2 linked regions of the Diceros bicornis minor genome follow. The protein of the gene in region 1 binds, or shares a complex with, the protein of each later gene. Links are inferred from orthologs where the notes say so. Each region holds a gene or a part of one and is shown on either strand. Other genes may lie near its edges.

Region 1 (15,955 bases):
TGTCGTCTTAGCAGTAGATGTGTGAAGGCCAGAATAAAAGCCAAATTCTGTGTGTGTCGGTCCCGTGTGTATTTGGTGTCTGTGCATGTGTACACTCGAGTGTGAGGCACGCACCTGGGCATTTATCCCACCATCCCCCTGGGCTCCTTCTTGGGGGAACCTTCGGGTCATTGTTGCCACGATAATTAACATTTACTAAGTGTTTATGTTCAATGTGGTTTCCGTGTATTTACTCATAGACCCCATGATGGACAGGCTGAATACAACAGAATTTTGTTTCTAGCTCACATAATAGTCCAGCGTGGGTGTTTCAGGTGGGTGGGTAACCCTTCTCCATATGGTGGTTTGGGGTGCAGGCCATCCCTTAAGCCTGTGGTCATCCACGTGGTCATGGCCAGGTGGCCTTGGCCTGGGTCCTGCTGGCGGAAGAGGAAAGGGAGCCCGGGAGGGACACATGTTCTCTCACAAGCCCCGCCAGAAGTGGCACATAACTGCTTCCAGTTACCTCCCTTCCCGAGAGATTAGTCACATGGCCACGGCTCCCTGCAAGGGAGTCTGGGAAAGGTGGTCAGCCAAGTGCCTGGAAAGCAGCGAGGGGTTTGTGGAGGACCGCTAGTGCTCTCTGCCACCTCGTCTAAGAACCTTCACAAAGAGGACTTGAGTGACCATCACAGCTGTGCTTCCTGAGCACCTCCTGGGTGCCAAGTGCCAGTCCAGGAGCCTTGTACATATTGACTCCTAGAAGCTGTGCATCTAGGAACCTACAAAAATAGAACCTTAATTATAATTACAGCTGCCACTTTCCCAGTGCTTACAGAGTGCTGCATGTGATTTGCATGAGATCATCAGGTCCTTAGAATAACTCTGTGAGGTAGGGGCTGGGATCTGTTAATTCATTTGACAAGTAGCTTTTGAGGACCTGCTGGGTGCTAAGCATTGCGAAGACACCGGTGGATAAAATAAAATCCTGTCCTCCTGGAGCTTCCGTGGGGGCGGGAAGGGGCCGCTGGTGGGCACAGACAGTAAATGAGTAAGATGTAGCATATGCTGGATGGTGGTAAAGGCTGTGGACAGTTCTGGAAGGGGGTTGCAATTTGAAGTAGTGTGGTCCTCCCTAGGAGGTGACGGGGAACTAAGCAGAGACTTGAAGGAGGGAGCCCTGCACATGAGTGGGCGGGAGGAGGCAGGAGCCTGCTAGCGTGTCAGGAAGGCCAGAGTGGCTGGAGCAGAGGGAGGGAGGGATGAGGTCACAGGGGAGCATTTTGGCTCTCGTTCTGAGATGGGAAGTAGTAATTCACAGAAGTTTGGCACCGAAGCTCCTTTGAAAATAGAAGCCTAATTATAATGATAGTTATCATTTACTGGGTATTTACCGTGTGCCAAGCCCTATTCTGAGGCGCTTTATGTGTGGTAACTCATAGAAGCTTGGCAGCTAAGAATCTTCCAGAATAGAACCTGAATTACCGTAATGACCATCATTAAGTCAGCGCTCACAGTGGACCAGGCCCTGGGCTAAGCGTTTTATATGGACAGTCGCATCGGATCCTTATGAGGTAGGGACTGTTATTTACTCATTCGTTAAACAGTGATTTCTTGAGCACCTGCAGGCTACAGGCACTGTTCTGGGAGCTGGGAGCAGAGCGGTGAACACAATGAACTAAACTCCCTGCCTTTGTTGAGGTTGTATTATGATGGGGAAGACAGAGAGATATGTAATTAGATATGTAAGTCGAATGTATAAAATGTATAGAATGTCAGAAGGTAATAAGTGCTGTGGAGGAAAAGGGAAGGGGGTGGGGAGGCTTGTGTGTGTGTGAAGCAGTTACAAATAGGGTGGTCAGGAAGGCCTCACTGAGAAGGTGACATCAGAGCAGAGACCTAGAGGAGGGAGAGGAGTGAGCCATGTGGCTGTCTGTGGGAACAGCAAGTGCAAAGGCCCTGAGGTTGGAGCCTGCTTGGGATGTGTGTGGAGGAGCACACGTGGCCACAGGCTGTTGCTGAGGAAGGCGGGGGGAAGACTGGTGGAAGGGCCAGGTGCGTAGGCCATTATACTGACTTTGGCTTTTCCTCTGAGTCATTGTCATAATCCTTAGAGGCGCAGGGGCTATTATCGTGACCATTTTACAACTGCTACGACTGGGGCACAGAAAGGTTGAATTGTCTGCTAGAGGTCACACAGAAGCAGAGCCCGGGTTTGATTCCAGACAGGTTTGATTCCTGGATGCAGGGTGCACATTCTTAGCCACTGAGCCACCCACCAGAAGTAGCAGTCTGTGGTCCACAGCCACCGTCTGACTGGCAGGAGTGTATTTGGTCTCCACAGAGTTACTGAGGTGTTATAATCACATCGGTTACCAATATTTAAAAATGGGCAGATTTCACATAAAAATGGAAGTTTCTGCCTTCTCTTGAAAAATTGTGAGCTCTAGATTGCTGAACCCACAATCCCTTGGGGTGGTAGTTTGCTGAACAGGGACATCCTCTTAATGGGGCACTCCCTCCCGTATGCTAGTCCCCACCATCTGGTATCTGGACCCCTCACACCCTGCTCGCTTCACTGATTTATGGTACCTACATGGCCCCAAAGGGTATTTGCATTTTGATGCCTGTTACCATATCTTAGACTAGAGCATCTTTCAAAACCCACACTTCATCCTAGAAGCTCAGAATCTCAGAACCTGACATTTATCCACTCTGAACTGAGACTTGTATAACCACTATGGCTTAGCCTCACTGAATCTCAGAATCATCAAAGGAGAAATTCACAGCTCATTAAAACAACATGGATTTTGTTTTTTTTTTTTCCTTTCCCCAAAGCCCCAGTAGATAGTTGTATGTCATAGTTGCACATCCTTCTAGTTGCTGTATGTGGGATGTGGCCTCAGCATGGCCAGAGAAGTGGTGCGTCGGTGCGCGCCCGGATCCGAACCCAGGCCGCCAGTAGCGGAGTGGGCGCACCCAACCGCTAAGCCACGGGGCCTGCCCCACAAGATGGATTTTATTTCCCAGGGCAGCATGCCTGAGCCCTCTTCTGCCCTAAGACAGGGCTTTCTAAGCACAGATGTAGAGAATTATCCTTTCATCAGCAGAAATTCCTAAGGATCACGAGAGACTAGGAATCAAGAGACATGGTCTGCTGCCAGTGGGTTCGTTTAGTTCCTCAGGGCCCAGTCAGGCTATGGAAGCCAAGCTAGGAATCCCAAAGAGAGCGTTTAATACAGGGGATTGGTTACATGGGTGTTAGAAGGCTGAAAGCTGAAACGTGGGAAAGGGAGGTAACCGAGAAATCAGTGTCTGCAAGAAGCCCCCACCTCTAGGACTGGGATACAAAAAGAGTGGGATTACCAGAACCCAGTAGGAGCTTGGAGGGCAGGCCACGTGCGGCTGGAGCAGGGACCAGTGATGAGGTGCCACGCAGTTGGTGCTCAGACCTCAAGAGGGACACGCTGCCTTCTGAGAACAGTACTGGACCCCGAGCTGCTGCTGGAGGGGTGCCAGCCAGACCCCAAAGCAAGGGGAGTCCCTTCCCTGTCTTCCTACCTTCCTTCTGCCCATACCTGTCAGGGGCAGAACTTAAGGAAGCCTGCTCTCGAGGGAGTCTGGGAAGCATAGTTCACAGAGCAATGTGGAAGAGCTGGAGGCCGAGAGACACTACGTAAACTGCGCCCAGTCAAGAGTATTTTTTGAGCCTCCGTGGTAAGCGCTGTCCTAGGTGCTGGCAATGAAGCAGTGAGCTAGACAGGACACTTGCCCTCAGGAGCTTGGATTCCAGCATAAAGATATGGATAAGGACATAAATAAAAGTGTGATAATTCCAGGTGTTGAAGAGTGCTAGGAAGAAATTAAATCAGGGTAAGGGTTGGAGGTGCTTCTTTAGCCAAGCAGGTCGAGGAGAGCCTCTCGGAGGAGCTGGCACATGTTGAGACCTGAATAATGAAGAGGCAGCCTTGCGAAGTTCTGGGTAAGAGCACTACAGGCAGAGGGAACAGTGAGTACAAAGGCCCTAAGGCAGAAGCCAGCCTGGCATGTGTGGTGGGAGTGCAGTGAAGATAGAGCAGGGAGGGAGTTGAGATTGCTGAGTGGGCTGGGGCCTGGTCATTCTTGGGTATTGTGGGCTTGGGCACAGTCTGTGGGTGTTATTTATGGGATGTGGAGGCTTATAAATGAGGAGTGCCCTGTAGTAGAGACTGGAGGGGGCTGCAGTGGTAGCAGGGGCACAGTTAGGAGAGTGGGGCTGGGGTGAGGAGTAGTCGGGCTCAGGAATTTAGAAGTCGAGTGTGCAGTTTACTAAGACGATGGCAGTTGTGGAGGCAGGAGTCACGCTGACCCGTTTTAAGTTTCCCATTCGTCATCCAAGTGGTTGTATCTCATGTAGGTAAGTCTGGGGTTTGGGCTGAAGATAAAGATTTGGAACTTCCCAGTGATGCTATTTAAAGTCTTCAGAATCTGTGACATCTGGAGAGTGTAGAAAGAACAGGAAGCCAAGGGTGTACTTGGGCAGGCTGCTCTCTACCTGGGGAAAGAATGTGGGCTTAGATCCTTAGGTTTGGGTTTGGTGGAGCCACTGTGGCAGTGGTGTGAAACATCTGACTTAGAAACTTCTGGGCTTTCACCAGGAGCCAGAGGAAATGTTTGGCTTTAGTGAATTTGATAACTTGGAAAAAAGTGATGGCCAACCTCCTCCAAACCAGTTTCCCCATAAGTCACCCTAGCAAAGAGATCCAGGTTAGATCCCTTCCCCAAATCTTAGACACACACACCCCCCCCACTCCTGCTAGACTCCTGCTAGAGGTAGTATTTCCCAGGGCGGGAATCCTGCTTCCAGGCTGAGAGTAGGTTGTATGTCTATCAGTTAGACCAGGGGTCGGCAAACTTTTACTGTAAAGGGCCAGATGGTAACTATTTTAGGCTTTGTGGGCCATACGGTCTCTGTTGGAACTACTCAAGTCTGCTGTTCTATGTGAAAACAGCCATAGATAATACGTAAATGAACGAGCATGACAGTGTTCCAGAAAAACTATTTGCAAAACCAAGAAGCAGGATGGACATGGCTATAGTTTGCAGATGTCTTCCTTAGGCTATAAATTATGCTGCATGTGACAGAGACCCAAAATAATAGTGGCTTAAACAAGATAGAGGTTTATTTCTCACTTACAAGATAGTATGCAAGTGGATGTTCTAGGGCTGGTATAATGGCTCTGCTCCATGAAGTTGACCAGGGACCCAGGCTCCTGCTCTCTTATTGCTCTGCCATCCCATGTGTTGCTCTCATGGTCCAAGATGGCTGGATACCATGTCCACATTCCAGGCAGGAAGGTGGAGGAAAGGCATGTCCCTTTCTGAAGCTTGAGGACTCCCACTAGGAATTTAGCCAGAACTCAGTTACATGGCCACATCTAGCTGCAAGGGAATCTGGGAAATGTAGTCTTTGTAGCCACCATGTGCCTAGCTAAAAATTGGAAGACAGCTATCAGTTTCTGCCACATCCGTTTCACTTTTGGGCTTTAAAAACATCCCTCAATTCAAATAGAGTCTCTGATTATTGCATGCAGGACATTAACCACTCCAGGGGCAGGGCAGGTAATGCAGGGAGGTAAAACTGGCCTGGTTGGGCCTTTCAAGAGCTGAAAATAGGATCTTAACGGGAAATCTCCCACTGTTGGCCAAATACAACAGGAAACAGAAGGTATCTCTGTTTGATTCCAAACTAGTTTCCACACAGGGTCAGGCCAGCTCTGCCCGGAGCTCCCCCTCCCCGTGCCCTTCTTATGTTCTCTGGGAATTCATGTTCAAAAGCCAGTTCCTTGTTTAGACATTTTAATATAGACCTTTTCTGTTTTTAGATATTATTTCTGTCAGTTTATTGATGCCATCTCTCCTACACATATAAAAAATATTCCATGGCCAGAATGGTACATAAAGTTATTTAAATGGGCAATAAATCATCGGGGGTGGGGGGAAGGCAAAGCCATCCAATGCCATGGCCCCTCCTTGAGTGGGAAAGGCTGGCAGGGGTGGGAGGTGACAAGGACTCAAATTGCAACCCCACATGACTCAGAGTACAGCTCCCAACATTGCAGCCCCATCCCCAAGGGCCCAAGTTGCTCCACATCTGGGACCCATCAAGTGGCATTATAGGCCAGCAACACCTCACCTTTCCTGCCCCCATTCAGGCACAACTCCAGAACAATCTGCTCCTATAGCCCACGGCATCCATCTGGGAAGAATTAAAGATGATTACACAATCTGCAGCTAGCTGTGATTTCAAACTATTTAATTGAGAATGAGGGAGATACAAATAACAATTTTCCCTCTCTTGCTCATTTTTTTTTAAACAAAAGATCTCACTGTTGTCTGATTTCACCATTTCCCTGAAAGCCTGTGTCCTCCAAAGACTGAAGCTCTAATTAAGCATCTTCTGGGGTCCTCTTTATCAGGAGCCCTTTGCCTTTCCAGGGAGGGGAGCAAATCCCTCCAAGGCCCCCATCCCATATCAGAGGAGGGTCCTACCAGCCACAGAGCCCCCATTGCCCTGGGGAGGGCTTAAGCTGCACTCAGAGCTCCCCTCGGGCATGCCGGATGTAGTGTTGATGCAGCCCAGCTTCCTGGGCAAAGTCCTGACCACACTCAGTGCAGGCGAAGGGGCCAGGAGGGGTGCGGGCCTCGTGCGCCTGGCGGTGCCGCCTCAGAGAAGCAGCCAGCCCAAAGGTCTTGCCACAGTCAGGACAGGCGAAGGTGGGCTGGGCAGTGGTGGGTGCAGCCGGCAGCGGGGGCCTGGTGGCTGGACCGTGGCTGCGCTGGTGGGCGATCAGGGCCTTGGAGGAGGGGAAGGAACGGGCACAGGTGAAGCAGATGAAGAGGGCCCCCTGCAGCTTCTGGGCCACGAAGTCCGCTGGGTGCTCCCGCTTCATGTGACGCTCCTGGAACTTGGAATCGGCGAAGGTGATGAGGCAGCGGGTGCACTGTGGGACCCCCAGGTGGCCTGAGGGACGTGGGGAGAAGTCGGGGGAGGCCAGCAGGAGTCTCCGGGAACCTCTCCCAAGCCCCAGAATCATGCCAACAATTAACATTCAGTGCTTACTATGTGCCAGGTTCTATGCCAGGGCTGGACAGCAAGCAGTACAGGCAAACTCTTATTGGACCTGTTATGGGTGAGCAGACTGAGGCTCAGAAAGGTTAGGCAACTTGCCCACAGTCATGAGGCTAGGAAATGAAAATGGTGGAGTCAAGACTGGAACCCAGGGAGTCTGCCCTTCCAGCCAGACTCCTCTGGGGCCAGACTGCCTGGAACCGAGTCCCAGCTCTGCCACTTCCTAGGCAAGTACAACAGGTTCCTCATCTGGCAAATGGGGTGATAACCCTCTCAGTATCTGCCTCATAGGGTTGTTGGAAGGAGTACATGAACTTTTATTTAATATAAAGTGCTTAGAACTTAGAACAGTGCTACACAGTGGTCTGCAAGTATTACTATTGAGAAAGAGAAAAGCAGCCCGACAGCTGGGAGCTGGCCTTGGTGGTCTCCTGTTGAACATAAACGGTGTCACAGAACGTCGTCAGACAAGGCCATGCTGTGGCTAAGACGCATCAAGACAACAGGACCACACCATAATAGCGTCTGAACGCAGACACAACTGTGAATGTTGTCCAAACCACAGAAATGACCAGACGCCCCCATCCTGGCTCACACGAGTGCCTGTGCTGCTGCTGCTGCAGTCAGCTTGCGCCTCTCTTTGTTCCACCCTCCTTCTAGGTGAGAGTTATTAAGATGGCCAGCCATACAATTGCCCCTGCTTCCTGGCAGCATCCAGTCCAGAGCAAACCCCTCTTCCTTGAGCCCCCCCCATATCACCTATCACAAGCCCAAATCCTATCATAAGTTCTTCCTAACGCTCTACTACTGAGGTGCCCCACAGTGCCCCCATGGTGTGTGTGCACTTCCTCAGTACAGTGAGCAATAAACCCAACTTGTGCAACTGCAGCTGTGTTCTGGTGGTCTCTGGCTGGAGGGCGTTGATACTGCCTCCAATTGTTACGGATACTTCTCTGTGCCACAGTTCCCTCTTCTGCAAGTGATAGTAACCAATTTTACAGGGTCTGTTAGGAGGACTGAATGGGATAACGAATGTTAAGCGCTTAGAATGCGCCTAGCACATCATAAGAATTCAGAAGAAGCTGTTGCTATTATTATATGTCATACTGGCTACCTTCATTAATATCAAGCTTTCCCCTTTTTTGTCACTAATCCCCATAACAGCCCTGTGAGGTGAGCAGTGGCAACCCCTTTTGACTGATAGGGAAACTGAGGCCCAAGTCACAATGGAAGTCTGGGGCAGAGTTGGGACTGGAACCTTAGGGCTCCTCTCACAGTCTCTGCCCTCTCCCAGCTGCATCTCCCACCCGAAGCCTCTTGATGCCACTCTGTCTCTCTGAAATGCATCCCACTCATGCTTATGTGGACAGAGCAGGGTGGGGACATCTGAGCGTAATGGGGGTGAAGGTGAGGAGTGGCACTTCCTGGTAGGGCAGGACCCCAACAGGCAAGTCCCTGCAGCACCTTGGACACTAAAATGCTATAGAAATTCTCTTAGCATCAGCTCCTGCACCCCACCCTCCTCTGGCCAGCAGTACTCACAGATGTCGCCTCTTGGACTGCTGGGACTCCTTTCCCTGGACGAATCCTGCTGCTCCATGATCTCTTTGGGGTGCGGGTCCTCCATGGTGGCTGGGACCCCTCTGGTCAAGAGAGGAGCACGGATGATAGAATAGTAAATCAAGTGAAGTCGCTCATCTCTCGCCAGCCTTAGAGGGCCCGCTAATCCTATGACCTTTGACATAGAGGCTCTCCTTGCCAGCCTTGGACCCCCACCAGATACCATCTCCTTGAACTCTAACCTGATGGAGCTCTCCCTAGAGAAGCTTCAACCCTCCCAAACCATTTGACTCCCCGGGGTTTGTGACTCCCCTTAGAGCCTTCTCACCTGTGTGAGACCTATGACCTTCTACATCAAACTAACTCCTGAACTCAGCGCAGGACCCTTGATCTTTGACATCAGCCTCATTCCCGTTTCTCCCACGTGTCTTGAGGCAGGTAGTGGTACCCACGCTTTAGCTCGCCTCTTCCCAGGAGACATCCTTCTCTGACATCCTCTAACTCTTGTTCCACCCAGAGCCCCCGCCTCCCACGCGCTTTCAGCCTCCGTGTCCCGCTGCTCCCAGCACTGCCCTTGGCTCCCTCCTCCCGAGGCGGGTAGCCCAGGCCTCTGCTTTTTCTCCAGACAGCACAGGGCTGCCTTTCGTTGCGCCTGTCAGTCGCTCGTCACAGCGCCGCCACCCGGAGGGGAGCAGGACAGGGCCCACCGAGTCTCCAAGTCCCGGTGGTTTCCACGCCCTTTCGCCTGTTGAGCCTCTCGAAACCGAGATCCTGGACTGCCATCCGGCAATGATGCAGTCGCGCCAACCGGCCCTCAAAATAACGGGTGGGGTCCTTCTCCGCACTGGGATGCGTTATGATGACGTTGCAAGCCACCGGTGCCGTGAGGACCTAAGCTCATTGCGCAGGTGTGGCTGGGCGCTCCTGGCGCGCAGGCGCTGTGCCTCCCTCATTGTTTTAGGCCCTGCGGCAGCCGGAGCTGGGGAGCGAACGCACTTTGGCCGTTCTGCGCAGGCGCTGCGGCTGTGCTCCGAGATCACGCTTCCAAGACACACCCCCTCCTAAAAGGAGTGACGTCAGGTTAGAGTCCCCGGGACGTGTCTGGACATCCCCAAATCCCCGCGCTCTAGGCTCTTCGGCCTCCGTCCGCCGGACTCCAGGGGCGGGGGTGCTCAGCGGCTGACCAGCCTCCATCAGCTGCGCTCTCCCTTGTGCCGGCCGTTGGCTCGGTTAGTGATTCGGAAGGGGGTGGGGGGGAACATCTGTACCCTTGAGAGAGGAGAGGGCTGGAGGCCGAATTTCTGAGTTTTCGAAGCAGAGAGAGAAACATATCTAGAAGGAGAGCGGAAAGGACGCCTGGGTCCCTGGGGAATAGGGTCTGGGCGCCGGATTCCCAGGTCCCTGGGAGTGACACCCGAGAATGGAAGAAGGGAACAGGGTGGAGGACTGACGTCTGACGCCAGACTGGGGCGGCTAGAAAAGACAAAGGCTGGGGGCTCCCTGACCCCCGTCTTCCCCACCCCTTGCTTTCCAGCTATGCCTCCGCCGCGGGGTGACGTGACCGCCTTGTTCCTGGGGCCGCCGGGCTCGGGAAAGTCTGCGCTGATCGCAGCGCTGTGCGACAAAGCTGTGGAGATGGTAGAAATCCCCGACGGACGGCCGGACTCCGGGATCCCCAGCCTGCGAGCTGCGGGCCCAGGCCTCTTCCTGGGCGAGCTGAGCTGCCCACCCGCAGCGCCGGGACCCTGGGCGGCCGAGGCCAACGTGCTGGTACTGGTGCTGCCAGGCCCCGAGGGGAACGGGGAGCCCTTGGCCCCTGCGCTGGCGGAGGCAGCGCGGGCCGCCCTGGCCCGAGGGACCCCGCTGCTGGCTGTGCGGAACCTCCGTCCTGGGGATTCACGGAATGAAGGCCAGGCCCGGGATCAGACAGCGGCCCTGCTGGACAGCGCGGGGTTGGGGGCCGCGGCTCTCTTCGTGCTGCCGGCGGACTGCGGCAGCAGAGACGGCTGCGAGGAGCTGGAGCGCCTGCGCGCGGCGCTGCGGAGCCAGGCGGAGGCGCTGCAGAGGTGAGCGCAGATTTTCTGGGTGGGTTGGGGAGGCCTGGTCCTTTAGTACAGACCTCACACCGATAAGGGACTCTTTGAGGTCCGCGAGACCCCCTACCCCAGCGACTTTGGGGCCAGCCTTAACCAGATACCTGCTGCAGGTCCTGCTCCCTCATCCAGGTCCTGCTTGACTGTTCTCTCACGTCTAGGCCCACCCCCAGCCAAGGGTCAGCTGGAAGTCCCGATCTGTCATCCAGTTCCTGCCTCAGGCGAGGTCACAAGCCCCGCTCCCTAGCAGGAATTCTAGGAGAGGCTGGGACCTATTGTGCAAATACTGCCCCAGGCGAAAGCTTGAAGAAAGGCTCAGTCTCATCACACAAGCTTTTGATCCCGGCGAAAATTTTACCCCAAGACTCTTAAGTCTTCTCCGCCCTTCCCACCAGCAGCTTGGTTCTCAAGCGACCCCACCCTCAATGAGCTTTGTTATTTCCAGGTGCCCTCCCCCACTTCCTTTCTCTAATCCCATCTGGTTTCGGTGCCCACTTGCTGCCCACCTCCTGAATTCTCTCCCCCAACCCCGAGCCGCCTCATTTTATAGATGTCAAAAATGAGGCTCAGAGAGGGGCAGCCTCTCCTCCAGGCCCACTGCTCGTCTTTATTCCTTAGCCATCCCCCGTGGTAAGAACTAGCAGATGAGCCTTCTCCCCTCACTGGTCCCTACTCCCCTCCTCACGCCTAGTCTAGGAAAGAGCGCCCATGGTGACCTTGCCCATGTCAAATAGTGCTCGACTTTCTTTTACTCCACAATACAGTCTCGATTCTGCCTTTGCTCCAAGCCCCAACCTCTGTGAGTTTTGCCCCACCCAGCACGCCTTTACTTAACCCTGCAGGTCCCTCGGAAAAGCCGGGTCCCAAAGGCTGTATCCGGGAGAAGACTTAGTGGGGTTCCCATTTTAAGCTCTGTTGGAAGCTCAATCAGCCCGCCCCATCCCTGCTTTAAGTCCTGGTTTCTGTTTGCTGTGCCATCAGTCTGGCTTCCCACTCCAGCTCCCCCCTCAGATTATTCGGAAAGCCCCGCCCTTGTCCTCATAACCCAGTCCTGTCCTCCTAGCCCAGCTCTCCACCGTTTAGCCCCTCTTCTGCCCATGACCCCATCCCTCCCTGTCCCCACAGGTTCCTGCCACCGGCTCAGGATGGCTTCGAGGTACTGGGCGCAGCAGAGCTGGAGGCTGTGCGTGAGGCCTTCGAGACCGGTGGCCTGGAGGCGGTGCTGTCGTGGGTTCGCGCGGGCCTGGAGCGGCTGGGCAGCGCACGGCTGGACCTGGCCGTGGCCGGCACGGCTGACGTGGGCCTCGTGCTGAACATGCTACTCGGGTTGGATGCTGGTGACCCAGGTGCGGTGCCTGCTTCGGCGCCCGCGGGGACCACGCCTTACCCGGCCCCAGAGCGCCCCAATGTGGTGTTCTGGACCGTGCCTCTGGGCTCCGCGGGCACTGCGGCCGCCCCCCACCCAACCCACTACGACGCCCTCATCCTTGTCACCCCTGAGGCCCCCACTGAGAAAGACTGGGCTCAGGTCCGGCCCTTGGTGCTACCAGATGCGCCGCTAGTCTGCGTGCGAACAGATGGTAAGGGCGAAGATCCAGAGTCTCTGGAAGAGGAAGAAAAAGTAGAGAAGCCCAGTTGCGAGAGCTTAGAGAACGCAGGCGGAGAGGGGTTGGAGAATGCAACTAGTGAGGGAAGGGAGAAACATGGCACTGGATCGCAGAAAGCAGGCCATGGGGAAGGTTTAGAGAAAGGAGGCCATGAGAGTTTGCAGCAGGTTGGCGTCGTCGCGAAGAAATCGGGCAGCGGGGACTCAGAGCGGGCGGCCTCATTGAGCCCGGAGGACGAGACGTGGGAGGTGCTCGAGGAAGCGCCGCCGTCCGTGTTCCCCCTGCGGCCGGGCGGACTCCCCGGGCTCTGCGAGTGGCTGCGGCGCGCGCTCCCCCCGGCGCAGGCGGGGGCGCTGCTCCTGGCGCTGCCGCCCGCGTCTCCTCGCGCGGCCCGAACGAAGGCAGCGGCGCTGCGGGCCGGGGCGTGGCGGCCGGCTCTGCTGGCTAGCCTGGCGGCGGCGGCGGCCCCAATACCAGGGCTGGGCTGGGCGTGCGACGTGGCGCTGCTGCGGGGTCAGCTGGCGGAGTGGCGGCGGGCGCTGGGGCTCGAACCGGCGGCGCTGGCACGACGCGAGCGCGCGCTGGGCCTGGCGCCTGGGGAGCTGGCAGCGCGGACGCGCTTCCCCGGCCCGGTGACGCGCGCCGAAGTGGAGGCGAGGCTGGGCGCCTGGGCGGGCGAGGGCACCGCCGGGGGCGCGGCGCTGGGTGCGCTCTCCTTCCTGTGGCCTGCGGGCGGCGCGGCGGCCACCGGCGGCCTGGGCTACCGCGCGGCGCACGGCGTCCTGCTGCAGGCGCTCGACGAGATGCTGGCCGACGCCGAGGCGGTGCTGGCACCCCACGCGCCCGCGCAGTGAGGGCTGGGGCGAAGGCGGGGCTCCCGGGGTGCCCGGCCTCCCGGCTGCTTGGCTCCCCCAGGGCCCGGGGGGCTCCAAGTCCCCGTTACAAGGAAGGGGTTTGGGGGTCCAGACTCTGGCATGGGGTGTCTGGGCCTCGGAGATAACAGCGGGGGGGGGACGGGCGGGCTGCCATTCAGTATCCTGGGTGTTCGAGGGGGAAGAGGGCTCTGGCTACTGGTTGGAATGTGTGACTTCTAGTTACCCGGATTCCTGGGTCCTGAAGGGAAATAGAGTCTGGGGGACAGGACTCCTGATTTCTCTGGGGACCACGGATCATGACACCAATACTTGTGTTCTGAAAGGAGTTGAGAGGTTGGACTCCTAGAAGGGGGTATATCTTGGTCTCCAAGGGAGTAGAAACTGGGGCTGTTGGGCATCTAGTCTTCCAGAGGGAGAGGGGATGGCAGCCCTGATTCCTGATGAGGGGCATCTCCATCATACTCCATCCACTGGGAATTCCAGTGTGGAGAAGGGGGGGTCTAGTACCCCAGGGGGCTGGAACCCTTGGACTTCTGAGCCACAAAGGGATATAGAGTCTAGGTTTCCTGGGGAATGGCCTGCACACAGCCTCCCAGCTCCTCAAGAGGCAGTGGGCTTTGAATCTTCATTGGGAGGAGGGGCAGTCTCTGGGGTCTCAGACTCTTGGCTCTCAGGAGGGCTGTGGACCTTGGTTCCTAACTCTTCCGTGGTGGGAGGGCTGCATCTAGAGGAGGAAGCAGGGGGCTGTGTGACAGAGCGGAGACCCTTTTGTCCCTCTTGGTCTAATATTTATTCCTTTTGGGGGCCTGGTGACCCAGACTCCTTTCCCAGCTGTTGTGGGGAGGATGGCCCCACAAAAATGAGGGGAGGAGGCAAGAGGGAGGTGGTAGGCTCTGGGGGTAGCCAGAGACCAGGAATGAGGTCTTCTGGTTATGGAAGGGCAGGAACCCACACCTCAGAGGTTTCTCCCACAAATCCCTAACAGATGTGGATCCTGGCAACTGCCCCTCTCTCTCTGTGAGTTTGGCCAAGAAGGGATATGACTGCCCCCATTTTATAGGTGCTGGCAATTCCGAGGTTCTTTGGGGAGTCTTCCTCTCTTCCTCCCTCCTTTAGGGGTTTCTGTCTTTTTTTGGTCTTGGTTTCCTCTGTCTTTAAACCTTAACCCTTTCTGGCCTTGGTATTTTGTACACCTGCCTTTCTGGAAAAGCAGCTGTACTGCTGCACTAACCCAGGCGTGTCTGTTTGGCTACCTCAGGTATCCCCAAGAGGCCCTGCCTTGGAGTTGAAGGCACCCACAGAACAGTGGGGCAGTGTTCCAGAGCGTGTGAATGTACCATGAGTGAGGCAAAGACAGAAACCACAGTGCTTGGAATGTTCTAGGCTGCCAGCTACATGTAGAGGAGAAGCCACAGGTCACTGAATCCTTCAATGTCAAAAACAGAAAGGGGGGACCTGAGGGGCTATCCAGTAGAATCTCTTATGATAGATGCGGAGAGCAAAGCCCAGAGAGGGCAGGCTCTAGGCCCAGCAGCACATAGCAAGGCCCTATGTGGTCTGGCCCCTGCCTGTTCACATGCTCTGCCCTACCTTATCCCCCAACCAGCTTGACAAATCTTCCTACTGATGCTTGAGTGGGCCACCTTGGGTCCTACCTCAGGGCCTTTGCACTTGCTGTTCTTTCTCCCTAGAATGCCTGGCTGTCTTATCAGTCACGTCTCACCCTAACTGCCCCTCAGAGAGGCCTTCCCTGACTGCTCTAACTGAAGTAGCTCACACACCCCCATTATTCATCTCGGCCTGTTAATTTTCCTTGTAGCAGTTATTACAATAGAAAATCACTTTATTTATTTATTTATTTACCTGTTTATTGGCTATTATTCCCTTGCCTGTGTTGTTCTCTTCTGTACCCCCAACACCTAGAATAGTGCTTGCCATATAGCAGGTGCTTAGTAAATATTTTAATTCATTCATCAGTGGCAGAACCAGGGCTGGAATTTAGAGTGCCGGCCTCTTGTCACAAGACAGGGAAAAGGAGCAAGATGGGGGGAGAAACAAGCATCTAATGGGAGAGAGAGCCCTTGTCTGAGGTCAGGAGACCTGGGAAGCAAGCGCGGCTTTGCCACTGTCACTCTGGGTGACTTGGACCAGTGCCTTATTTTCCCATCTGTGAAATGAAAGGGCTGGACAAGAACCATACGTAGGTATGGTTCTAGACCCTGTTTCCTCTGACGGCTGGGGACAAGGGTAACCGATCTGAGGGGCAGATACTCGAGGGATGGTAACCCCATCTCCAGCTTGAGCGTTCAGGCCTCTCCATCAAGTGTGCCAGCCATGTGGAAGAGAGGGAGAGCCACCAGGCAGCGCTGTCCAGTACAAATAGAATGTGAGCCACGTATGTAATTTTAAATTTTCTTGTAGCCACATTAAATTTTCATGTAGGCACATTTAAAAAGTAAAAGGAGGGGCCGGCCCCGTGGTGTAGCAGTTAAGTGCACACACTCTGCTGCTGGCGGTCTGGGTTTGGATCCCGGGCGCGTACGGATGCACCGCTTGTCAGGCCACGCTGTGGCGTCGTCCCATATAAAGTGGAGGAAGATGGGCACGGATGTCAGCCCAGGGCCAGTCTTCCTCAGCAAAAAGAGGAGGATCGGCATCGGATGTTAGCTCAGGGCTGATCTTCCTCGCAAAAAAAGGAAAAGTAAAAAAAAAGTAAAAGGAAACAGGTGA
Region 2 (15,673 bases), on another chromosome or scaffold:
AGTTTTCCATGTACTTACACAATTTCAACCAACAGCTTCCATTCCAATTCAAAATCTTACTCACTGCAATATTCTAATAGTGAAAAAGTAAAAGCAAATCAAATATCCACCAATGGGGAAGTGGTTAAATCCATCATGGTTTTTCTATATTATGAAATACTTTGCAGACCTTAAAAAGAATAAGGTTAATTAACAAGTATTGATTCATGTACCAAACTAAGCCTTTAATTTTATGCCTTTCTGTATACCTGTAACTTTTTCATATTTTACAATGAGCATGCATTTTTATAATCAGAAAAAAAATATAAGAAAACGTAAAGTAACCAGAAAAAAAGTAATCTGAATCATATTTTGTTTGTAGTTATTCATATAACAATAAGGTTTAAAACTTTTTTTCATTTCATTTAGCTGCTAGAAAAAAGTCTGAATTTTTGTTTTCAGCTGCACAAGTCTGGCTTGTAGGCCAATCAGCTCAGAGATGTGTAAAGAGATTCAACTTTGGAAGAAGGAAAACCAGAATTTTCATACTTCCAAAGCAAAACGTTTTCAGAAAATGTGCGGAAAGGGGTGATTGTCAAGGAAGCACTCACTTATCCTGAACCAAAGACTAAATTACAAATAGTAAAATGCTTCATTTTCATCCCAGACAGCTGCAGGATGGAGCAGCATCTAAAGGTACAAGCTCAGGGACTAGGCCAGCCCGACTTTCTGGGGAGGTCGCTGAACCAATCACCGCCTTGGCTTCCATGTGTCAAGTCTTCATAAAAACGCCTACCCTTTGCGTTCCCACCGTGGTGCGATGCACAACTGCAGCGACATGATGGGGTTACAACAGGAACACTGCTCGGCCTTCATGACCCACGAACTTTCCCGACCACCCTTCCATGAGGCCAGGCCCGGAAAGGACGGGGCCAGCGACAGGCTGTCCCCAGGCTTCTGCACTCTGTCAGGACGCAGACGCTGACAGCAGTGGCTAACCTTCTTGGGGTTGGAGACGGCTTGGAGAAGTCGAATGAAACGAGAAATTTACCTCTCAGTAAATTAAACCAGTAAAAGAGGCCAGTAAATAGGCTTAGGCCAATGAGCCTGTGCACACAACCTCCATGGGTTCGCGAACCCTTAAGATCCACGCTGGGCTCCCCGGGGGCTCAGGCCGGGCAGCTCGCTACCTCCCTCCCACCGCCACCACCGCCCAGTCCCCGGGGTGGGGGGGCTAGAAAAGGGCAGGAATCACGCACCGAAACGAGCGGGACGCGCAGGTGATCCCCCTGCAGCCGGTTGAAGGCGGGGAACGTGCTCCACGCGAGAAAGCCGCCGCGCTCGGATCCTAGCAGGGCTACGAGCAGCACCTGGTGCTGGAAGCGCACGGTCGGCTGCTCCTCGTAGCTGCTCCGCTTCAGCCAGAACCCTGAGGTAAAGAAGGCGGGAGGGCGGTAGGGAGGAAGTCAGGAAGGCCGGCCGGGGCGCCGCGGGCCGCAGGGGCTGTGCTGCGCACCGGCCGGGGGCAGGCTCACCGTGGCTCCGGAAGGCCACCAGCAGCGGCGGGATGTACGTGAGCACGGCGGCCAGCAGCAGGAACACCGCGGCCTTGGAGCAGAGCCCCGCGCGGTAGCCGCGCTCGGCCGGGTGAGAGTAGAGCTCGTAGAGCGCCATGAGCTCCGCGCGGACTAGCGCCGCACGCCCGGGACCCCTCCGCGGTTCGAGAGGAACGACTAAGTTTGGCTTCTCCTAGTTGCCATAGCTGTGGTCTCCACGGCAACCGACGGCGCAGGGAAAGGAACCAATAGCAAGGAAGCGGGGCCACCGTAGGGGCGGGGCTGACGGGGGCGATGCGGGCTGGTGGACGCTCGACCCGCTTTACGCGTTGCGTGCGTTTCTCCAAAGGCTGGGTGGAGGTAGAATGTTTGCGTGCACCAAAATCATAGCCACCGCCCGTGTTAACACTTGTGTAAAAGAAGATTTTCATAAAAGTTGCCTTACAGTAAATAGCTGCTTGTATGTTATCTGTTAATCCACAATGTGGTTCATACTTAAGTCCAGCTAGTCACAGCACACCCTACATGGGAGGAAAACACACAGAACATAAACTGGCCGTGATCCTCCACCTGTTCCTGGGATAAGACAAAAACCAGGTCCCTTTGTCTCCAAAGTTTCGTTGCTTTCACTCTACTCCATAGTAGGACAGACATAGAAACAGGACACAAATCTCGCAGCTCTTCGTGGGATAAAGGATAATTACTACATAGCTCTCTGCTATACTTTGTTACATGTATTGGGTACAAGCCTGGCTACTGGTTTTAGAGGAAGCTATGGTCCTCCCCAAAGATAACATTGGCTTATCACTTAATTGAATGTTTCTAACCCCCAAACCAGTATTTCGAGCATGGCAGAAGGATTTTTTTTTTTTTTAACCATGGTTCACAGCCAAGTTCTTCATCAAAAGGGCTTGAAGGATCACACTGCAGTGCCAAGAGATAGTGTGAAGTTTGTGCTTAGAGTGGAGTCCAGTAGTTGATGCCCCTATTTTGAAGGCAACCTAGAAGTGGCTTTTAGATGAAGAGAACAACTGAGATCCTAACAACACAGACAGAGGGAGGTCAGGATCTGCCCATTTGGGATAACTAGCTAGGGCCCTTACCATAGTCCAAGGTGACAGTGTCATCGGCCATATGATGCTTTTGACATATCTGGTCTAGTCCTACTCATTCTTGCTTTACAGCTTTTCTGGGATGGCAACACAGCTCTTAAATACAGCAATTGTTAGCTTAAAGCTATGTTATGATTCTGACATTATATTCTATCTATGGTTTAGTGGATGACTTTCATTTATTTAAATAACCATTAAAATAAGATTCTAGAATAAATGGTTCTACTATCGCATTGTGAGGGTGGCTCTGAGGAAGGAGGTGTTTCCCTCCACAGGTCCTTCTTTCAGCAGGAAACACACACTGTAGCTAGTGTCACTTGGTCACTGCTGAAACAGGGAGGTGACTGCTAAGAATTTAGGTGTATGTGTTGGGGCCCGGTCTGGTGGCGCCGCAGTTAAGTGCGCGCCCTCTGCTGCAGCGGCCCGGGGTTCGCAGGCTCGGATCCCGGGCGCGCACCAAAGCGCCGCTTGTCAAGCCATGCTGTGGCGGCGGCCCATATAAAGTAGAGGAAGATGGGCACGGATGTTAGCCCAGCGTCAGTCTTCCTCAAGAAAAAAAGGGGAGGATTGGCATCAGATGTTAGCTCAGGGCTAGTCCTCCTCACAAAAAAAAAAACAAAACAAAACAAAAAGAATTTAAGTGTATGAAGTGCTTCAGCCTCCCCTGAGATGCCATGAGCTTTGCAAAAGTATTTAATAATAACAGATACTAAGGGCCAGCCCCATGGCTTAGCGGTTAAGTGCACGTGCTCCGCTGCTGGCGGCCTGGGTTGGGATCCCAGGGGCGCACAGACGCACTGCTTCTCCGGCCATGCTGAGGTGGCGTCCCACATACAGCAACTAGAAGGATGTGCAGCTATGACATACAACTATCTACTGGGGCTTTGGGGGAAAATAAATAAATAAATAAAATCTTAAAAAAAAAAAAAAAACAGATACTAATATTTACTCTGTTTCCATGATTTGAGGAAGCTAGTCTTTGTGTTTTTATTTCAATTCTTTAAGAGAATATTAGATTTTTTTAAATGCTAAAGATCTGTGTATATTGTGTCATTTTCACACATTCATGACTGAGAACTGACTTCTCAGTTTCCATTTCCATAATTTTCTCATGTTTCATACAATTTACCTCCAAGATCAAAGAGAGTTGTTCTCTTAAAACTACACATTTTAATCATGTTTTACCCCTTTCTAGAAGCTCCCATTCAGGGTCTCTTGAATCAGTTTAAAATTCCTGAATTTTTGCTTCAAGGCTTTGCAACATTTTTTTCACATTGGCATTTATCTATATTGCTGAACCTTTGGCTTCCCAGTTCCCCATTCCAACTTCAGCCTTTGTTTCTATCTTTTTTTTTTTTTAGGGAAGATTGGCCCTGTGCTAACATCTGTTGCCAATCTTCCTCTTTTTTCTCTTTTCTCCCCAAAGCCCCAGTACATGGTTGTGTATCATAGTTATAGAGTCGTAGCTCTTCTATATGGGACGCTGCCTCAGCATGGCTTGATGAGTGGTGAGTAGGTCCGCCCCCAGGATCCCAACCAGCAAACCCCGGGGCAGGCCCCCAAAGTGGAATACTCGAACTTAACCCCTATGCCACCAGGCCTGTCCCTGTTTCTATCTTTTAAGGGAAGTTTATCCTTTAGAAAATGTACTTTTCTTTCTGAAACATAAGATTCACATTCTCTGTGAAGTCTTTCTTGGTAAGCCTTGCTTGGCTTTATGTCAGCCCCCATTGCCCTAGCCATCCCTCAGTATCCATGTTCACACACCTCTCCAACATTTGAAATTTATTCTGTGTGTGTTATAAGTCTGTTAATGTGTCATTGCATATATTGATGATCCTATTTCTCCTCCTGACTCACCTCTTCAACTAACCACCCCCTCAAGGAAGGCATCCAGTGTCCTTAGAACATTCAATCAGCTAAATGTAATGACCCAATAGGCGAAGAAGGTGATGCATATCATCAAGGCAGATCAGAGAAGCCAATTAGAATGGTGAACTGGAAAAAGACATCAAGAAAGTAGGTAAAGATAGAAGACAGAAAGACATTGCACATCATTGAAACAGGTGACACGACTATCAATTGGGTGAATGGTGGATCTTTCCCCTGAGAAGTGTACTAAGCTCTTCCAGGCGCAAGGTGGTGTACACATGCCTTGGACTAGGACACAATGACCAGCTCTGTAAAGGGAAGCAGGGATCTTCAGTCCAATTCTAACTCCTCCACTGATTCACAATCAGATGGTGAACAACCATCTTCATCCCTCAGTGTTTAATTCTATTTGCAAAAAAGGTATTTTCATTTTTTCACTCACTCTCTAGCTGATCTCATCCAGTTCAATAGCTTCAGTATTTCTCTTCTGAATCTGAGACTCATAGATCCATTCACCTACTCTACATCTTCACTTGGATATGTCTCTTGAGCATCTCATACTTAATATATCCAAAACCAAACTCTTGATTCTCACTCCTCAAGCTAGCTCCACTCTATTTTAGTAAATGGCAATTCCATCCTTTCAAAAACCCTGACTTGACTTGTCCCTCATACCTCATATCCAATCTATCAGCAAATTTTGTCTGCTCTACCTTCAAAATATATCTAGAACACAACTGCTTCCCACTGCCTCCACAGACACCATCTTGGTTTAAGCCAACATCATCCTTCACCTGGATTATCACAATAGGCTCTTAACTGTTCCCTTTGCTTCCATCCTCAACCCCTTATAGTCTACTGTCTACACAAAAGCTAACCTGATCACTTAAAAAGGAAAGTCATATCATGTCACACCTCTGTTTAAAACCCTCCACTGACTCTCATTTCATTCTAAATAAAATCCAAATTTCTTCACATGGAATTCAAAGCGCCACACAGCTTTGTTCTAGATCTCTTTGATCTCATCTCCTAACACATTCCTCCTTGCTCATTCGCCTCCAGCCACAAGTGGATCCTTCTTATTCCTAGAATATGCCAACCACTTTACCTAATTAGCATTCTATCCCACCATCACTCTAGTCTCCAACCCTGCTTTATTTTCCTGAAACAGCACCTATCGTTACCCGACATATCTATTTTCTGTCTTTTTTTTTTTTGTGAGGAAGATCAGCCCTGAGCTAACATCCATGCCAATCCTCCTCTTTTTGCTGAGGAAGACCGGTCCTGAGCCAACATCTATTGCCAATCCTCCTCCTTCCCCCCCCCCCCCCTTTTTCTCCCCAAAGCCCCAGTAGATAGTTGTATGTCATAGTTGCACATCCTTCCAGCTGCTGTACGTGAGACGCGGCCTCAGCATGGCCGGAGAAGCGGTGCGCTGGTGCGCGCCGGGATCCGAACCCAGGCCGCCAGTAGCGGAGCGTGCGCACCTAACCGCTAAGCCACGGGGCCGGCCCCTATTTTCTGTCTTGTCCAACTAGAATGCAAACTCCATCAGAACATGGGTGTTGTCTGTTCTGTTCACTGCTTTTCCTGAACACCTAGAACAGTGCTCCTATATGCAACAACAATAATTTCTAGGTACAAAATTCAAAGGATTTTTCACTTCATTAAAGACAAACAAGCAAACAAAAACCTATTTTGGTTACTCAGACACACAATCTTAAAATAACAAAGATACCTTTAGAATGAAGCTAGATTCCACAGCATCCATCAGGAATTTCAACTGTAGGAAATGATGAATGACAATGTTCAAACATACAGGTCTTTCAGCTGCATCAGAATCACAAGCACGCGGCAAGGATCATGTGCCCAATTAAGTCAATAGTCTTGTTACATATTTACCATCTCATAAACAGATGATGACCCAGAGCAGACTGCCCTGATGACTCTGCTAGGAAGAAAGGAATGACATCACTGGAGAACCTCATGGCATATGCTCAGGCAGGTGACACATACAGTGTAGGCTGTGATTGCTGAACCCTACGCTGCCGGTCAAAGAAGCCCATCTCATGACCAGCTCTTAGGGGAATTCTCCGAGCCTGCTAGTCACCTCTAGCTCCTCTGCCAGTTAAGATTAAGGGGGCTCTTTGTGATCAGTGTGATGTTACACTCTTCAAACGCATATTTGTGATACTTTTTCTTATGTTTATTCAAACATTTACTCATGAACAAAGGGAGGAAATGGGATTTGTTTAAATTCAATTTTTAGGTCCGAGGAAACCTATTATGGCTGTCCCCAATACTGAACCCTTGGGAAGTCATCAGCTCCCCCCCACAGTCTCCTCACACACCCCATATTGAGCTCCCAACCTGTTACCACTCCAAACAATACTCCCCAAACTGTCAAGGCCCGAAACAGACTCCCCCTGCTATCACCAACCACCAGAGACCCCTCTTCTGTCATTCATACCACCAAAATGCCCCTCCTGTCACCAACGCCCCAGTCAGACTGCCCTCATGAACAGCCCTCTACAAGAGCCCTACCCTATCAGCCAGACCCTCAAACTCCCCTTCTCGTTACCCACATCCGCCGAGACCCCAAGTTCCCGAATATCCTCTCCCCAGTCTCCAATATAGCTCACAGATGCCCCTGTCATCAACATCATCACCCCCTCTCCCCTGGCGGCCCCCTCGCCGCGCCCTCTTGCGTGTGGCCCCACCCCTTGGCATGGCGTCGGGATGAGCGCGCCGGAAGCCCCGCCCCCGGCCGGTTGCTAGGCTCCAGCAGCCGGAAGTCCCGCCTGCCGTGTAGTCGCTGCTGCCGCTACCGCTGCCGTCGTTGTTGTTGTAGTTGGTTCGCTGAGCTCCGCGGCTCCGAGAGCCGGGTGCGTCTCTTTCCGCCGCCGCCATGAAGTGGATGTTCAAGGAGGACCACTCGCTGGGTAAGCGCTCGGCCAGTGGCCGGGCCGTGGGGCCTGGGGTGGCAGGTGAGCCCCCTCCCCCACTCAGGCCGCCCTGGCCTGGGCCCGGCGGGGCGGATGCCGAGCTCTGGGCTCGGGTAGCCAAGGTCCCAGCCCCTGGGGCAGCTGCCCACGGAGCCCGTGTCGCCATCCGCAGGCTCTGCGGGAGCCAGGGGACCGAGGACCGAGGCCGCCAGGACGCCCAAACGAGGGCCCGGGGGGTGCGCAGGTCTCGGGGGCAGGAGGGCCAGGGGCTTGGGAACCAGCTAGCGGGCAGACGCGACCGTCAGCTCGGTGTGTTTCTCTCACAGAACACAGATGCGTGGAATCTGCGAAGATCCGAGCGAAGTATCCTGATCGGGTTCCGGTGAGTGGACTCCCCGCCCCCTCACCCCGCTGTCACCCCTGTCGTCTAGGACTCGTGATAGGGCCCCAGGCCATTCAACAGTTGACAAGTTGAGCTTCCGTCCCAGTTATAGTAGCAGACGGGCCAGACTGGGTTAGGGGCTGTCCGGGGGCCGGGGCGTGAGGGGTTCGAGCTGGTGCTGTTCGGGGTGCCTCAGTGCTGAATCTCCCAATCTAGGCCAGCGAGCTGTCTGCAGCCTCTGGGCTCCCTCGCCAATTATGTAAGGAGTGATGTTCTAGGACAGGGCAACAGGTCACTGCCACTTTGGGGAACAGTGGTGGGGGGAGACTGTCACTTTGGTCTTGGAAGTGGTACTTGTAGTCTCAGGACATTCATCTTTAACTTTGAGCCTCCATCTTTACCGGACTTCTAGCTCCCTTTCTTCACCCTGACCTGGTCATCCTTTCCTGACCAAAAAATATCTGAGAAATGGCTGAAAACCCTTTCTTCCATGGTTTCCCCTTAATTAATAATAAAAATGATCCTATATTTTTTCCATGGTAGGGGAGATAGTTTCTGTAATCCTTATTGATTTTTAAAGGACATCCAGGCCTGTTATTGTAGCTCATTGCTTGTGAACAGTTCCTTTGGGGAGGAGAAGGGTAAGAGGGACAAACTTGAAACCTAGTTCAGAGAGCAGCAACAGGCCAAAGGAAGAGCTTGGTTCTTGGCTGGCTGGGATTGCCAGTCATTCCTATTAGTCCATCCATTTTTGTTTCCTATGTTCTTTGGGATCTTAATTTCTCTGTAGTGTGAAGGCAGATCCATTCTGGGGTCCTGGAGTAACAGCCTCATCAGATATTCTCAGGTCTGCCCAGACAAAAGGTTGAAAAGCTTTGTAGTAAGGGCTGTGTTTCTCTTATGCATGTTGAGATCAGGGATGAGAAATATAATAACTGACCACAGAAAAGCACTTACCGTTTCCCTAGAAGACATTTATATCAGTTCTTAACCTCCAGAGTGTGTGGTTTATTAAGTCAGGAGCATATTTTCTCATGTTACACAGTTTCCCACCCACCTCCTTGCCCACACATTGTTCATTAGCTTCCCAACAGTGCAAGGCCAGAGCCTCACATTAGAAATCCAGTCCTGACCTCTCTTTGCTTTCCTAGGTGATTGTGGAAAAAGTCTCAGGCTCTCAAATTGTTGACATTGACAAACGGAAGTATCTAGTTCCATCTGACATCACTGTGGCTCAGTTCATGTGGATCATCAGGAAAAGGATCCAGCTTCCTTCTGAAAAGGCGATCTTCCTGTTTGTGGATAAGACAGTTCCACAGTCCAGGTGAGAGGTGTTCACTGTATTGGCCATCTGCTTGGCTGCTTACAGAACTCAAAACTTGGGAGGTCTGAAAACTCTTAGAGGTTCTGACTGGAAATCTGGATTTTGTGCTCCCTGACATTAGGAGCTCAAGGGAAATAAGAAAAGGCTGCAATACATGGGAGTGTACTTTGGGTTAAGAAAATGGAACAAGGCCTGGACTTTTAAAAAAAAATTATGAAATCCAGCCTCAGTCTCCCCAGGATCCCTTAAAACAGTTGAGGACTTACTTAGGCTTAAGCCATTAATAGAACTGAAGCCTGAAATGAGGTTTTCTCCAAATGATTCATATAATAAGACCTGTCATTCTCCACCAGGAGCTCGTGGGCCCTGCTGTAGCTCAGCTTTGGGTAATCACCTTGCCTACTTGCTCTCCAAACTCAGTCAGCTCTGTGCCACTGTGAGGGTCTGTGGCTGCCTAATCCTCACGTATGCTAAAATGGCTGCCGTCCAGCAAAGTGCCCTGAGGTCTCTTTACAGACTTACATCTCCCTTGGCACCACCTGCTCTGCCTGGCAGAGTAACTGCCCTTTGCTCTAGCTGTTGTGCTGCCTGGAAGCAATCTTTGGGATAACTTGGGGCCTGAATCTAGGCAGGAGCATTACAATTCCCTTCTTCTGTATAGTTGACAGCCCAGCTTTAGTTCCCTGTGGAAAGAGGAAAATGGATTGGCTCAGTCTAAGTCCCTGGTCAGTGCTTTCCTGTTACTGATTGAGGACTTCTAGGGCCTGAGCCAGATGCTGGCCCCTCTCCCCTGAGTGTGAGTTCCTGGCTGCGTCTCATCTTGGTGACCCAAACTAAGTTTCATTTGTTACCTCCCAAAGGTAGCACTTCTAAAAGCTAAGACTTTCAGAATCCCTGGGAACTAGCCCAATGTGGCCAAAATATATTCCTTTTGAAAATCCTTGAAAGCTCCAGAGAGGCCTAAGCCAAATTCCAGTCCTTTCCCTACAAAAGGTAGAAAGCTCTGGCTATATTTTGTTCTGATTTTCTCTCTTCCAGTCTCCACCACCTCCACTTCCTGCTGTTTGGCAGAGGAGCAGGATAGGGGAGAAATGGAAGGTTCTTCCCTAAGGCCAATGTCTTGTCTGGGGAGACAGGCCAGGCCCTGCCTGCTGGGTGCCATTGATCTGCCACAGCTATAGCTCAGGAAGCTGCGATATTGCCAGAGGTGATCTTGTCACCCTGTTGGGTTCTTCTAGCCTTCCTTCCCAGGCCTCTGGGCAGTGTGGTGCTGGGTGCACTCTTCACCAGGGGAGGAAGCCCTGGGCCCCTGTGGTCACTTGTGGCTTCCTTTAAGGTGGGAGAGAAGGCAAATCTTTATTCATACCACCTGCAACTTCTGCAGAGCCTTGGCGACCCTGTGTTTCCTCCTTCCTGGAGGTGGTTTCTTAGTGGGAGGAAGTAGGTGAGTAGGACCTATGGCATTGAGTTTATTTTCTTTAATTCTGATCCTCTGATACTTCTTGAAGGAAATGAATCAGGCTCTGGAGACATTAAGATTACTCTGATGGCTCCACATTAATCTAGCAATTAAAATGGCTGCAGATTTTAGCAACTGCCCCCTCCCCCATTATCCCTGAGATATAAATAGAATTGGAAATGAAAAGTGATTCTCAGGGCAGCAGAGTCTGCATCAGGGCCATTTTCTCTCCAAGTCCCATTTGCCTTTCCAGCCTAGTGAGAATCTACCCTAAGGCAGATTACACCAGTGACCCAAGTCAGGATTTTAGGATCACTAACCAGGGCCCCTCTGCTCAGGCCCTGAGTGCCTTTGGCCCCAGTTAATGTCTTCCTGCCCCACACTTAAAGCAGCAGTTCTTTGTTTGTTTGGGGGTTTTATTCTTACAAACAAATTTGTTTATAAACAAGAGAGGCATGTGACATCATTGGGCTTTATGGAGATGCCAATCGCCTGAAAGCACAAACAAAATTGCTACAGGGTCTCCTTCCTGAGTGACTCAGCTTCACCATCTCCTCCTCAAGGCAGTTTAGCAGCCTCTTCCTCAGCTTTTTCCAGCCTCCTTAGGGAAACGCAGGGCCTCCTTTAACCTTCAGCCAGTGCTTGCAGCCTTCAGAGAGTGGCTGGGGAAATCAGAGTTGAGAAAGGATGAACCCAGGCCTGCAGGAGCCCTCCCCTATCCATAACAGGGATCGCTTATGTCTGAGGCTGAGCGGAAGTAACTCCATTTATTCTTGCCTTGGAATGGAACTTTGGGAGAGTGTTCTGGAACACAAGTGAGCACCATGTAAAATGTCGTGATTATTGTTTAGAGTAGTTAGTATTAAATACTGATTCTAGAAATAGAGACAGGCAAGTCCCTAAGAGTTTTACTTCCTAAATTCTGATTTATGTTTTTTTAAAAAGGGGGAGAATCTCAATTGCCTTTTCCCATTTAGCATTGGAAGGTTGAATTCTCTGCCTAGGTGCCTGCATCCAGAATCAGGCCAAAAACAAAAGGAGAACTATGCCTTGGTGCAGACAGGACTTGAGAAGGAACATCAGTGTACAAGTTTTCCAGTCATGGTGTTAGAGGGGAACCCAGGCAATTGTGCCTACCTTGGTGGTCTTTGTTTCGAACACAGACTAGTCTTGTTAATCTCCCCTTTAAAATAGAAACAGGAGTATATTATTATTAAATAAACTGTCTCTATGATGTTATAATTTGGGAATGTTACATTGGGAAACCTCTGCTGTGTTTAAGATTATGGTGTTTAGTTGCTTCTGGATCTTAAAGAGGTACTAAGTAAAAGGAAGTTGTGATGTCTTATAGTCCATTCAAACTTTATTTAGAAATGTGCTTAAATTAAGCACTCTGGATCGTTTCTGGGTAAGTATCTCTTCAAGAACAGGGTTTATTTCAGCAGTAGAATAGGGTTTATTTATATCAGAGAAAAATCTGATAAAAGGAACAAGCAGTAGTTAATTTTTATTTTTTAGAATCTCGGGGAGGCTTCAGGGCCATATTCACTTTCACTTTGAGGCGAGTGCCTTTCCCGGATCCACAGCAGTGGCCATTGTCCTCGTACCTCACCCCGCCTGTCCTCCCCCTGCTGGAAAAGAGATAAATCCAGGTCCAGTGGAAGCATGTAGGCTCCAAAGCAGATGGGTGGCCAGGTGTGCCCATCAGTCCAGCCAATTCATGAGTCAGGCTGGATCCCACAGCCTCCATGACCTGACCTTGATCAGGGGCCAAGGGGAGGTTCTGCGGGGATTGGGCAACCCACACAGTTCTAGGTCAGCCTCCCTCAATTCACAGGCTGCTGAGAAGCTTAAAACTAGTATTTGTCCTCAGCAGCATGGCCATTCCTGGAGGTGGATCCTTCTGAAAGCTGCCTTTATTATTGGTTAGTTGGTCTGGATCTGTGTGACCCTGAACGGAGGGGTAGGGGACAGGGTTTTAGGGAGCAATTTAGGTTCATTTCACTCAGTACTTCGGGGTCCCACCACACCTTAGATTGACTCCATGGCTTGAATCTGATGTTTTCCCATTTCTTTCCTTGTCAGACTCAGAGCTTGGAAGGTGGCAGTACCCCTGGTAGCCCTGGTACCCGGAGGAGTGCGTGTAATACTCAGTGCCACAATGGTGTGCATTAGTGTTAGGGACTGGAGGCCATCTCTGGTTGTCTTCTGCAGCCAGTAACTTAGGCTGGAAGCCTTGGAGTTGCAGTGCTGCTTGCGAATTGTCAGTCCATCCAGCAGCCTTCGCAGCTTAGCCTGACAGATGCATTAGAGCTGCCTCTGTGCTTTAGGATCCTCAGGCATTCCTGCACTAGCAGTGGCCTGCCTAGTGCTGTGTGGCTCAGGCCTCTGAATTCTGAGAGGGAAGCTCATCATCTCAGAGGCTTATGGAACTTGTTCTACACTGACACACTAGCCTTCTGCTAGAGACTGCCTGCTGACTAGGGTCACGTTTTCCTCCCTGCACTTCCACTTGACTGTTCGTTTAATGGGACTTAAAAACAATTTTTTTCAACTGTATTAGTGGCCCAGCTGTTTTTGGCTCTAGGGCAAGTTATTCTGACTCTGTATGTGTGTGGCCTTATCTCACAAGTGCTATTTTCAAATCGTACTGTACAGATGTGCCAGTCTTCTTTCATGGCACCCAGCAAAGCCTCGAAATCAGGCGTTCAGTCACAGGCTGCTGAATGGAGTGTTTAGCTCCCAGAGTTGAGCGTTATCAGTTTTCAAGTTCCTGCCCAAGGGTACCCTGAGAATAAGGACACGGTGCTGCCGCCAACTAAATAAAGTTTCCACGCGAGGCTGCGTGACAGAGAAAAGGAGAACAGTGAGAGGACTCTTATTAAAGTCACTAGGCACAGCCATCTAGTCGTCAGATTACAGGATCTGAAGGGGAGAGTGCTGAGACTTGGCTACTCGATGTGTGATGCAGAGGCTGGCAGCAGTGGCTTTAGCTGGGAACTTGTTAGAAATGTAGAATCTCAGGCCCCACTCTGACCTTCTGAATCCAAACAGGCACTTTAACAAGACGTCCAGGTGATTCCGTATGCATGTTTGTCTGTGTGAGAAGCCCCGTTCTGAGGGAGATCGCTGCAGAAGGTACAAGGACGCTGACATTAGGTCATTAGAACAGATCTAGCTGTGTATTCACTTGGAGGCAGCACAGCCTAATGGTAAGAATGTCTCCTAGCTTTGTGACGTGGGGTGAATTATTTAACCACTCTGTGCCTCACTTTTATTATCTATGAACTATGGATTATGATACTGTGTCATAAGATTGTTGTGAGGATAAAAAGTTAATATATGTAAGGCAGTTAGAACAGTGCTTGGCATGTGTTTACTATTATAATTAGAATTTGTACGATCAGCCTCTATAGCTGCTAGGGCACTGGATAAACAAATTTATAAACCCAAGTTTTACTTAGACAATGGAATCTGAAGGCAGAAAGCTACATGATTATGGGCCCTCCCTCTCAAAGTCTCAGAGCCTGCCTTAGACAGTAGTGATTCCTACTACTTGTACACTGTTGTACAAGAATTCACTGTGGACAGCATATAGAGTCTTGGATGGGCCACTGGTGTTTATAAAGCTCCTCAGGTATCTCTAATTCAGAGTGGAATTTAGAGTCATTGCACTAGGCCTTCTAACTTGCTAGGAAAAGAGCAGAAGTTTGTCAGATGGAACCAAATGTGACATAGGCACCAAGGGGTGGCTGCCTTTGAATTGCACAAAATGTCTGCTACTTCTGCGTCTAAACCCTTTAGTGATGGTAGTGGTTGAGACAGTAGGACAGGTCTCATCAAGGTCAGCCTGGATGCTTGTACCAAGAAAGGCAAAGAGAGTTGTGGCAATAGCTGTAGCTCTTTTCCCCTTAGCCTCATTCTGAGGTGTCTCAGAGAAAAGCAGGGTTCCTCGGGGCACTCCCAACCACCAGGGTAAGTCTTTTTGAGAGACTCAGCTACTTATTCAAGCCCTTCACTAGCTGCTGGCTTTTCACTCCACTTCCTGGCTTGTCAGTCCCTCTACTTCCTAATCACATGGCTCTTAAAAATAAGCATCTTCAAAAAAAAACACAAGCATCTTTCTTCCTTTGGCAGAGGGACTGTTTCTCAACCTGGCTGCACCTGGAATCGTCTTGGGCATTTTAAAACATACTGATGCCTGGGTCCTACCTCCAGAAATTCTGATTCAATTGGTCTGGGGTGGGGCTTGGGCATGGAGATGTTTTTAAAGCTCTCCAGTGTTTCTGATGTGCAGCTGAGGTTGAGACCCACCATTCCAGGTGTTCTCATGAGCCCCTTAGGGGTTCCTCCCTCTAGCCACTGCCCCCCAAGTCCTCACATGTTCCAGAGCAGTGCTGTCAATAGAAATGGCATGTGAGCCACATATGTAATTTTAAATTTTCTAGTAGTCACATTAAAAAAGAAAAAAACAGGTGAAATTAATTTTAATAATGTATTTTATTTATCCAGTATATCCAAAATGTCATCATTTCAACATGTAAACAAAATTGAGATATTTTACATCCTTTTTTTATACTAAGTGTTTGTAATCTTTTGTATGTTTTACACTTACAGCACATCCCAGTTCAGACTAGCCACATTTCAAGTGCTGAATGTAGCTATGTAGCTGAATGTAGTGCTGTATTGGGCAGCAAAAATACAAGACATTTCTATCATAGCAGAAGTTTCTAGTGGACAGTGCTGTTCCAGGGAGTCCTTATTTTACAAGTTCCAGGTTAAGAGATCCTCACAGGGAGCACTGTTGTACAAGAGGCTGATGACAGGCCATTTCGTATTCCCACTCCTCCACCCCCACGTTGTTACTCAGTAATTCTCATCTACCCACACAGCCAACTCAGCTAAGCTTGCAAATGGGGCAGGAAGAATAGGAAAGGAAAAAAACTCCTTTATAAATGTGGCCTGTATCCCTGTTTACATGGACGTCCCACTCAGTCTGCCAGCAGCAAAGCAGCAGAGTGGGACAGTCATTGCTCCACCAGCT

What was found.
Region 2: the proteins of IRGQ (region 1) and GABARAPL2 are in contact, whole or in part, in a crystal structure (PDB 8Q6Q), measured with the Homo sapiens proteins. The link is inferred for Diceros bicornis minor from reciprocal best matches to the Homo sapiens genes IRGQ and GABARAPL2. Residues at the interface, in NP_001007562.1 of Homo sapiens: Asp7, Thr9, Leu11, Pro47, Leu49, Phe57, Pro70, Trp71, Glu74, Pro181, Ala182, Gln183, Asp184, Gly185, Phe186, Glu187, Val188, Leu189; in NP_009216.1 of Homo sapiens: Ser10, Glu12, His13, Cys15, Val16, Glu17, Ala19, Lys20, Ile21, Ala23, Lys24, Tyr25, Arg28, Pro30, Lys46, Lys48, Tyr49, Leu50, Val51, Pro52, Phe60, Ile63, Arg67, Phe104.

Annotation. Positions count from the first base shown.
Region 1 is NC_080773.1:18,198,922-18,214,876, reverse strand, and holds IRGQ (immunity-related GTPase family Q protein), read left to right. Parts: upstream 1-9,667; 5' UTR 9,668-9,730; intron 9,731-9,770; exon of another isoform or gene 9,771-9,879; intron 9,880-10,184; 5' UTR 10,185-10,186; coding exon 10,187-10,716; intron 10,717-11,868; coding exon 11,869-13,204; 3' UTR 13,205-13,345; downstream 13,346-15,955. Other genes in the region: ZNF576 (zinc finger protein 576), read right to left, coding at 6,555-6,982, 8,633-8,733, 9,103-9,131. UniProt on the Homo sapiens protein: Autophagy receptor that specifically promotes clearance of misfolded MHC class I molecules by targeting them to the lysosome for degradation.
Region 2 is NC_080771.1:25,998,723-26,014,395, forward strand, and holds the start of GABARAPL2 (gamma-aminobutyric acid receptor-associated protein-like 2), read left to right. Parts: upstream 1-7,318; 5' UTR 7,319-7,427; coding exon 7,428-7,461; intron 7,462-7,790; coding exon 7,791-7,846; intron 7,847-8,997; coding exon 8,998-9,170; intron 9,171-15,673. Other genes in the region: TMEM231 (transmembrane protein 231), read right to left, coding at 19-73, 1,239-1,408, 1,515-1,653. UniProt on the Homo sapiens protein: Ubiquitin-like modifier involved in intra-Golgi traffic. Modulates intra-Golgi transport through coupling between NSF activity and SNAREs activation. It first stimulates the ATPase activity of NSF which in turn stimulates the association with GOSR1.